Linked DNA regions of Arabidopsis thaliana. The protein of the gene in region 1 interacts with the protein of each later gene in a biochemical or structural test. Each region holds a gene or a part of one and is shown in the gene's direction. Other genes may lie near its edges.

Region 1 (3,479 bases):
GTGCCCTGAAGTGGGAATAGGTGACAATGCCCAAATCTGTCTGGAATGCGGACAATGAAAAAGGATGTGATTAATAGTCTCCTCTTCCGCTCCGCAACGAGGACATCCTTTATCTGTGCCAATATGTCGGTAGACAAGTCTTTGACAAGTGGCTAGACACCCCGTGATACATTGCCACGCAAAATGCATAAGGTTTCGCGTAGTTTTAAGCTTCCATACTTGTGCCTGAAGTGCAAAAACACTCGGTCCCTAAAAAGGGAGGTCACAAGTAGGACGAGACAAATCTCGCGCAGCCCAATACCCGGATTTAATTGTATAATTTCCGGATTTAGTGTGGGACCAACTAAATCCATCAAGATAGTGCTTATCTCTTCCAAATACGACTAACATGTTGTTACTAAGATGTTATTACGATGATTTGTGCTTAGTTGACAGAATGAGTCATATATCTTGTGAAAATTGGGATAGTCAAAACTCTTTTGTCAAATTAACGGATAATAGTTAATAGTGGTGTTTAATCTGAGTATTTGTTTGAGTTTCTGATTTATGAATCTAGTATATGTCAATTGGTACAATCAAAGAACCACATTATATATCACTCACACCATTTTTTTAAAAGATTGAATCAAGAACACACATTGTTAAGAGAACACTTAAACAAAACTAGTGGCTCTCCTCTCTTTCTCTTAATATGTGTTCGGTCTTAACACGTGATAGGTAGAGAGTATTAATTAGACAGGGTATATACTAGTTAATTGGAGATACTTTCAACCAATCCGCTGTAGCACACATGTTTATTTCAATGATGAAATCTGGGTTCAAACCCGGCAGCGGAATAGTTTTTTTCTTTCATTTTGGTAAAGGACCGATCCAAATATACCTTAACAAGTTGACTTTGCAAGAAAAAACCATTGGAGAAGAGCAGAGTTTTGATCTTTGATGAGCTTTGTGTTGAATGCGATTCATGAAGGAATTTCTTGGCTGCAAGTTTCTTTCATCAAGATTTGTGCGTCTAGTTATGGTATGAAGCTAATACCAATATTTTGCATATCATTTTGTAGTTGAAAGAAATCTTATAACAGAAATTTTGAGTTCATTCTTCAAGATTTAGATAAGTCTTCAACTTGTTGAGAATTCTATGACAAACACTCATGGTATTCACTTTGGAGATTAAATCAAGAACACACGTTTTACGAGTTTTTCGAGATCGATATGATCCTAGTACATTTCAGCAAGAACAACACCTTGTAATTTACCATCAGTGGAGTTTTTGAGTTATAGAAAAAAAGGAGAAAACAAAAAGACTAGATATACAAGAGCTTTGGAGCTCAAGGGCTTTATAACAATATGGTTTTCAGTTAGAATAATAATCGTCACCTCCTTACAACGACATTGCTTCATTCTAGCTAAAGCACACATCCTTACGTTGTCCTGTAAAAATGCTTCAAACCAGAACATTCCAACAAAAATAGAGTCTCGTCTCTTCTTACGGTTAGTACACAGTAATTGTTTCTATTAATTCAATGGAGTTATGTTCAACATATCCACTATACCACATTTGGATTCAAACCCTTATAGTAGAATATGTTTTTTTTTTTTTTCCAAGTGCATTCAACTTGTCCAAATAATAATAATGTAAAAAAACAATTTTTAAATTTTTTAAAATATATGGATAGTAAAAAAAGAGATCTGAGAATTTACCTTTTTTTATGGTAGCTGAAAAGTAAAAGTAAAATATACTCCATAGTTATACTAATTATTTTCGATATCCATTGTAATTTAGTACATATAACCGGTCCGGTTGACTCACTTGGTTCAAAAGGAAAAATCAAAAATCCACAATCCGTGACTAACATAATAACCCAATCTACAACCGTCGATTCATTAATAATCAAGGATCCATATATCTCATAAACCTTTCTCACGGATCGTTATCTTTGACCGTCCGATCAAACAATAAAACGAACGGTCACGATTCATTTTCTAACCCAAACAATCTTCTTTATAAATAAAAAATAAATTCTTCTCTACTCATCAGAAAACTCAAATCTTAAAACTTTCTGGAAAAACAAAAATGTCAGGAAGAGGAAAAGGAGGAAAAGGGTTAGGCAAAGGAGGAGCAAAGAGACACAGAAAGGTTCTAAGAGACAACATTCAAGGAATCACAAAGCCAGCGATTCGTCGTCTTGCTCGTAGAGGAGGTGTGAAGAGAATCAGTGGATTGATCTATGAAGAAACGAGAGGTGTGTTGAAGATTTTTCTGGAGAATGTGATTAGAGATGCTGTTACTTACACTGAGCATGCGAGGAGGAAGACGGTGACTGCTATGGATGTTGTTTATGCCTTGAAGAGACAAGGAAGAACTCTATATGGATTTGGTGGTTGATCAATTTGAGATCTGGGTTTTCTGGTGAATGATGATGATTTAAGTCTTGCGATCAAGAAATTCCAGAAATTGGGTTGAATTTTAGGGTTTCGTTTTGTGTTGTAATTAGGGCAGCATTGTAATGGATTAATGATAAGTACCATTTGCTCTAATTACTCTTTAATCTCTGAAATTCATGGTAAAGGATTATCAATCGAAAACTAATCAAAGGAATTGATTGAACTATGTTTTTGAAGATTGAAAAACAAATAAGGACTAAATGTGAGCAATTTAAAGTTTAGAGGTATAAGAATCGAATGACAAATATGGACTCAATGTGAGCGTTTTAAAGTTCTTAGCTTTATATATAAGATTCATACACTTAATTGGCTTATAATATTTCTTGCAAAAAATCATTTTCGCATTCCCTAGTGTAAGAATTTGTTGTGAAAATTATTCAGAGTTTTGTGAAATCTAATGACACGTCATCGATCCAACACATATTTGTAACGATACATTCATCACCGTCAGATCAAATAAAATGAACGGTTAATATAAACAAGAAAACAGTTTCTAAAACAAAAAAGAAAGGGCCCTACCGGATTCGAACCGGTGACCTATTGATCTGCAGTCAATTGCTCTACCACTGAGCTAAGGACCCTTATTGATTAATTAATATCAATTACATACATATAACCCATAGATATGACGAAAATGTCATCAACATTGTTCTTCGATTTCTTCTACAACACCTTCAATACCAAAACATGATCGTAATAAAGAAACAGAAGCAATGACCATAACTCCTGCGAATATCGTTGGTAAAAAAACGTCTAAATATGAATTCTTCACCATTTCTGACGGCAAGATTAACATTTCTCCCGGTAAATCCATCGGAATCCTAACGAACCCATCGGAAGATGACTTTAATTTCGACACAAACGCCATCTCCGGAGCAAATGAAGCCAAAGCCACTGTGATCATTAGGAGAATTGTCCATGTTGCTGTTTGAACAAGAACTTCCCAACGTGTTGAGGTTTTTTCAAGAATTGGTTCCATTGAAAGAATCAAAATTATAGAAGTGTTTAGTTTTGTGTGTGTGAAGTTAAAAAGA
Region 2 (5,212 bases), on another chromosome or scaffold:
TTCACAGTAAAGCATAGGATACTAGCAGGAAAAAACAATTGATACCTTGAGAACTGCATCAACTTGGGTTACATTGTTCAAGTCTTTGGATTCTATATACTCAATTTCTACGATAACTCTCTCTGCCTCAGGTTTCTCAATCTCATCGCCTTTAGGATGATTGTGATCAAAGGGGACAGAGTTTTGTGGTGGTTTATCTTCAGCTGTTCCATTCATTTTGCCAACCAAAAGCTTTGTTTTATAGTCGATATTCCTCTCAGAGACAGGAAGATTCTTCAAATCTTTTAAAGCCTTGGCAGCCATGCGTACCTGAAAAGTAACAAAGAAGACGCCATTATAAGTACAAACAACATAAGTTTAGCATCTGCGATTACAAAACCAAAGATAAGATTATAGATGAATTTTCGACCTCTAGCTTAGTATTAAGTATTCCCAATGAAACCCTTTCAAAGTAGAAATGGTAAGATAAACACATTACTATGAGAGTTCAACAGCAATAACATTAAAGAGCAGAGATCTATCTACATTCCCAAATCTTATTTCAAACAATTACGAAATTTACTCAAAACAAAAGCAAAAAACCTCGATCCCACTCAAGGACTCTAAAAAGTTCAAACAAATCCTCGCAGTCCGAAATCTAACTCCGGCGCCGTAAACTACTGCAACCGCGAAAGATCGAAAACGCAGAAGAATAGAAAAAGTAGCGGCGAGTCAAGCGGTATCGATGACTACTAACTTGAAGAGTAAATAGTGAAGATTATTTGACTCGCGTACCTCTATAAATTCGAAATGCCAGAGAAAATTCAGGGAGAGAAAGAGTCGATGAAGACGACGAAATTGATTTCCGGCCAACAGTTCGCAACTCGTAGTAGAGTCGTCGTAGTCATACTCGTTTACACCGACGTCGTTTTATGGATCCAACGGAGGGGACCCATTTGTACGGCATATCTTGGGCGAAATTAATGTTTTTCTTTTCCTTCTCTCTGATACACTTTGGTTGGTTATTGTAAATTCCTCAAATACCCTCGGACTAGATATGCATTTTTATTTTTATTTAGATATGGAATTGGTATATACATATTTTTTAATACGTAAAAACTTGGATTGGTGTGGAAATATTTTATTTTCTACTAAACGAAATAAATTGAACGTATAAAGTACATCACATGTTACATGCACTGATGCACATGAGGAGTGCAAATTTGAAAATATAAGATAAGAAACATGTTGCAAAGCTGCCACCCACCGTATCCAATTGCTACTATTTGTATCAATCAGTTACAAACTGAAAACCAAAAATGAAATGACTAGAACAAATAATGTTAAAATGCACATTGAAATAGTTAACAAGGAAAGCATACATTGATCGATAAAACGAATCCACCACGTTCCAAAATATTTTGTCGCAGATGTTGCAGACTTGTAGCTAAGTTGGGCCGGTAGATGTAGGTGACAAGTGTTTACAAATCTGTTAACTGTCGCTGTGTTCCTCCTACTTTTGATTTTGTGTTACACTATTCAAAAGTTGGTCGACTCTTTTAATCGGTTGATTAGACTAGTACTTAGTAAAATTTGTTGTTAAAACTTAAAAGGGAGAAGAAGAAGAAGAATACTGCTTTAATTCTTAATTAATTTTTTTTTAAAATTAGTAGTATCATTAACGTGTTTATTACACCTTCCTCGAGTTACTTTCCTCGTGATGCCAATGGTTTTTTTAATTCTTTACCTTTTCTTCTGACACAGAGTCACATATTTGACTACGGAGGAGATCTATTGCTTCCTAGTTCCTACTTATCTTTATCGCGTTGTACCAACATCAATATAAAAGCAACATCTTACTTTATAAACTTCCGTAAATTTGATAACAAGTACAATCAAGTTTAAATTTTTCTAAAGTTAACATAAATTTAGCATCATACAATAATTAACATTTTTTTTAGGTTAAACTTTTGGTGCGTTACGTGAGTAGCAGCATCTTCGAAAATATGTTTAGTAGTAGTAGTGATAGGAATTAGGAAAAGGCACACACAAAAAAGAAAAAAAAAGGGTAAAAGGATTCATTCACGTTTTTTTGTTTTCTCTCTCCAAACAGAACTTCGGGAAAAGTGGACAAAAAAAAAGAAAAAAATTTAATAAGAAAACCTCTTTTTCTCGCAATTTGGTTTTGTTTTCAATCTTCTTCTTCTTCTTCTTCGTCTTCAATGCAAACAATGCTCGATTCCATTAACCTAATCGAATAATGGAACCCACTGATTCTACTAACGAGCAACTCGGAGACACTAAGACCGCCGCTGTCAAGGAAGAGAGTCGCTCCTTTCTCGGCATCGATCTCAACGAAATCCCTACCGGCGCTACTCTCGGCGGTGGTTGCACCGCTGGTCAGGATGACGACGGCGAATATGAACCTGTTGAAGTTGTTAGGTCAATTCACGATAACCCGGACCCAGCCCCTGGAGCCCCTGCCGAGGTTCCTGAACCGGATCGGGATGCTTCGTGCGGCGCGTGTGGAAGACCTGAGTCTATAGAGCTCGTTGTAGTCTGCGATGCCTGTGAGCGAGGCTTTCATATGTCTTGTGTCAACGATGGAGTTGAGGCGGCTCCTTCCGCCGATTGGATGTGCAGCGACTGTCGTACTGGCGGCGAGAGGAGCAAACTGTGGCCGTTGGGGGTTAAGTCCAAGCTCATTCTGGACATGAACGCCTCGCCGCCCAGTGATGCTGAGGGATACGGAGCTGAGGAGACGTCTGATTCGAGGTACGTTCCCCTGCTTCTGGTATTCGACGATGCGTTAGGGTTTTATAAGAATTGAATTTGGGTTGAGATCGAGAACATAGTTGCAAGACTTGGTTAAGCTGTCTTTACATGTATTGCGAGTAATGTGTTCGATTTTAAAGCGATAAACTATTGAAGATTAAGCTGGACTAGGATTTGGTGTTGTTGAATTTAAGTTTCAGTATAAGTTGAGCGTTCTGTGCTACCGTTCGTTGGAGTTTTTAAGGGGCCTTTGATCTTCTCTTATGAATTACTTATACATACGATATATTTTCAATCAGTTGTTTAGACTTTATTTGATTGGACTTGTCTGGCCTTATATAACATGAGTATGTCTGAGAAAACACATAGCCGAAATTGTAAAGCACTGATGGATCATGTGGTTGCTTGTTTCTTCTTCTCCAGAAAGCATATGCTCGCCAGCAGCTCTTGCATTGGAAACTCTTTTGATTATGCAATGATGCATTCAAGCTTCTCAAGTCTCGGTAGAGGACATGCTAGTCTCGAAGCTTCAGGGTTAATGTCTCGTAATACTAAAATGAGTATGGATGCATTGGGTTCACATAATCTAGGTTTTGGATTCCCATTAAACTTGAACAATAGTAGTTTGCCCATGAGATTTCCATCCTTGGATCCAAGTGAGTTGTTTCTGCAAAATCTCAGGCATTTCATATCTGAAAGGCATGGAGTATTGGAAGATGGCTGGCGTGTCGAATTCAGACAACCTTTAAATGGTTATCAGTTATGTGCAGTGTATTGTGCTCCGAATGGAAAAACATTTAGTTCAATACAAGAAGTTGCTTGTTATCTGGGCTTGGCAATTAATGGTAACTACAGCTGTATGGATGCTGAAATCAGGAATGAGAATTCTCTTCTTCAAGAAAGATTGCATACGCCCAAGAGAAGAAAGACATCAAGATGGCCAAACAATGGTTTCCCTGAGCAAAAGGGTAGTTCAGTGAGTGCTCAACTCAGGCGTTTTCCATTCAATGGTCAGACCATGTCTCCTTTCGCCGTTAAATCTGGTACTCATTTTCAGGCTGGTGGTTCTCTTAGCTCTGGAAATAATGGATGCGGTTGTGAGGAAGCTAAGGTAAGCGTAAAATTGAAATCTCTCCTGATTGATTGTTTTTTCCAATATTTTTGTAATTCTTACCCTCATGTTTGTGTATTTGATTTTCAGAATGGATGTCCGATGCAGTTTGAAGATTTCTTTGTTCTGTCGCTTGGACGAATTGACATAAGACAGTCTTACCATAATGTCAACGTGATTTATCCAATAGGATATAAGTCCTGCTGGCATGACAAGATCACGGGGTCACTATTTACATGTGAAGTATCTGATGGCAATTCTGGTCCCATTTTCAAGGTTACACGGTCACCATGCTCGAAATCATTTATTCCAGCTGGATCAACTGTCTTCTCCTGCCCAAAGATTGATGAAATGGTGGAACAGAACAGTGACAAACTTAGTAATCGTAGAGATAGTACTCAAGAGCGTGATGATGACGCTAGTGTTGAGATCCTTCTTTCGGAACACTGCCCACCTCTTGGAGATGATATATTGTCTTGTTTACGTGAGAAGAGTTTCTCCAAGACAGTCAATTCCCTGCGCTCAGAGGTTGATTCTTCTCGAGTAGATTTTGATAAAAATTTATCCTATGATCAGGACCATGGGGTTGAAATTGGTGACATTGTTGTGGAAGAAGATTCATTGTCTGATGCATGGAAAAAAGTGTCTCAAAAACTTGTTGATGCATGTTCAATTGTACTGAAGCAGAAGGGTACCCTGAATTTCCTATGTAAGCATGTTGACAGAGAAACAAGTGAAATCAACTGGGATACCATGAATGAGAAAGACAATGTAATTTTATCGTTGTCAAAATTTTGCTGTTCGTTGGCTCCTTGCAGTGTCACGTGTGGTGAAAAGGATAAAAGCGAATTTGCAGCAGTAGTTGATGCTTTGTCAAGGTGGCTCGATCAAAACAGATTTGGACTTGATGCAGATTTTGTACAGGAAATGATTGAACATATGCCTGGTGCCGAATCATGTACGAATTATAGGACTCTGAAGAGTAGAAGTTCTTCTTCTGTTCCTATAACTGTAGCGGAAGGAGCGCTAGTGGTCAAACCAAAAGGTGGGGAAAATGTCAAGGACGAAGTTTTCGGTGAGATTTCTCGGAAAGCCAAGAAGCCTAAACTAAATGGTGGTCATGGTGTCAGAAATCTACACCCTCCTCCTGGGAGGCCAATGTGTTTGAGGCTCCCTCCTGGGCTTGTTGGTGACTTCCTTCAGGTACGGATATACGTTTTCCTTATATGGTAATCTACAACCTACCCCTCCATTCACTAAGTCATGCCGCACATATATGATAGTCATTTTTTATGCTTGCCTAATTAGGTATCTGAAGTGTTCTGGCGTTTCCATGAAATTTTGGGT

The links.
Region 2: of the proteins of HIS4 (region 1) and MBD9, one has a biochemical effect on the other in vitro, tested with the Arabidopsis thaliana proteins (one study listed by BioGRID).

Annotation. Positions count from the first base shown.
Region 1 is NC_003071.7:12,328,550-12,332,028, reverse strand, and holds HIS4 (histone H4), read left to right. Parts: upstream 1-1,969; 5' UTR 1,970-2,074; coding exon 2,075-2,386; 3' UTR 2,387-2,684; downstream 2,685-3,479. Other genes in the region: AT2G28725 (forkhead box protein G1), read right to left, coding at 3,086-3,424. UniProt on the Arabidopsis thaliana protein: Core component of nucleosome. Nucleosomes wrap and compact DNA into chromatin, limiting DNA accessibility to the cellular machineries which require DNA as a template.
Region 2 is NC_003074.8:171,077-176,288, forward strand, and holds the start of MBD9 (methyl-CPG-binding domain 9), read left to right. Parts: upstream 1-2,113; 5' UTR 2,114-2,239; coding exon 2,240-2,754; intron 2,755-3,177; coding exon 3,178-3,865; intron 3,866-3,955; coding exon 3,956-5,068; intron 5,069-5,173; coding exon 5,174-5,212. Other genes in the region: AT3G01450 (ARM repeat superfamily protein), read right to left, coding at 46-303. UniProt on the Arabidopsis thaliana protein: Probable transcriptional regulator that acts as a histone acetyltransferase. Mediates the acetylation of histone H3 and H4 of target loci (e.g. FLC). Involved in an auxin-independent regulation of shoot branching and flowering time.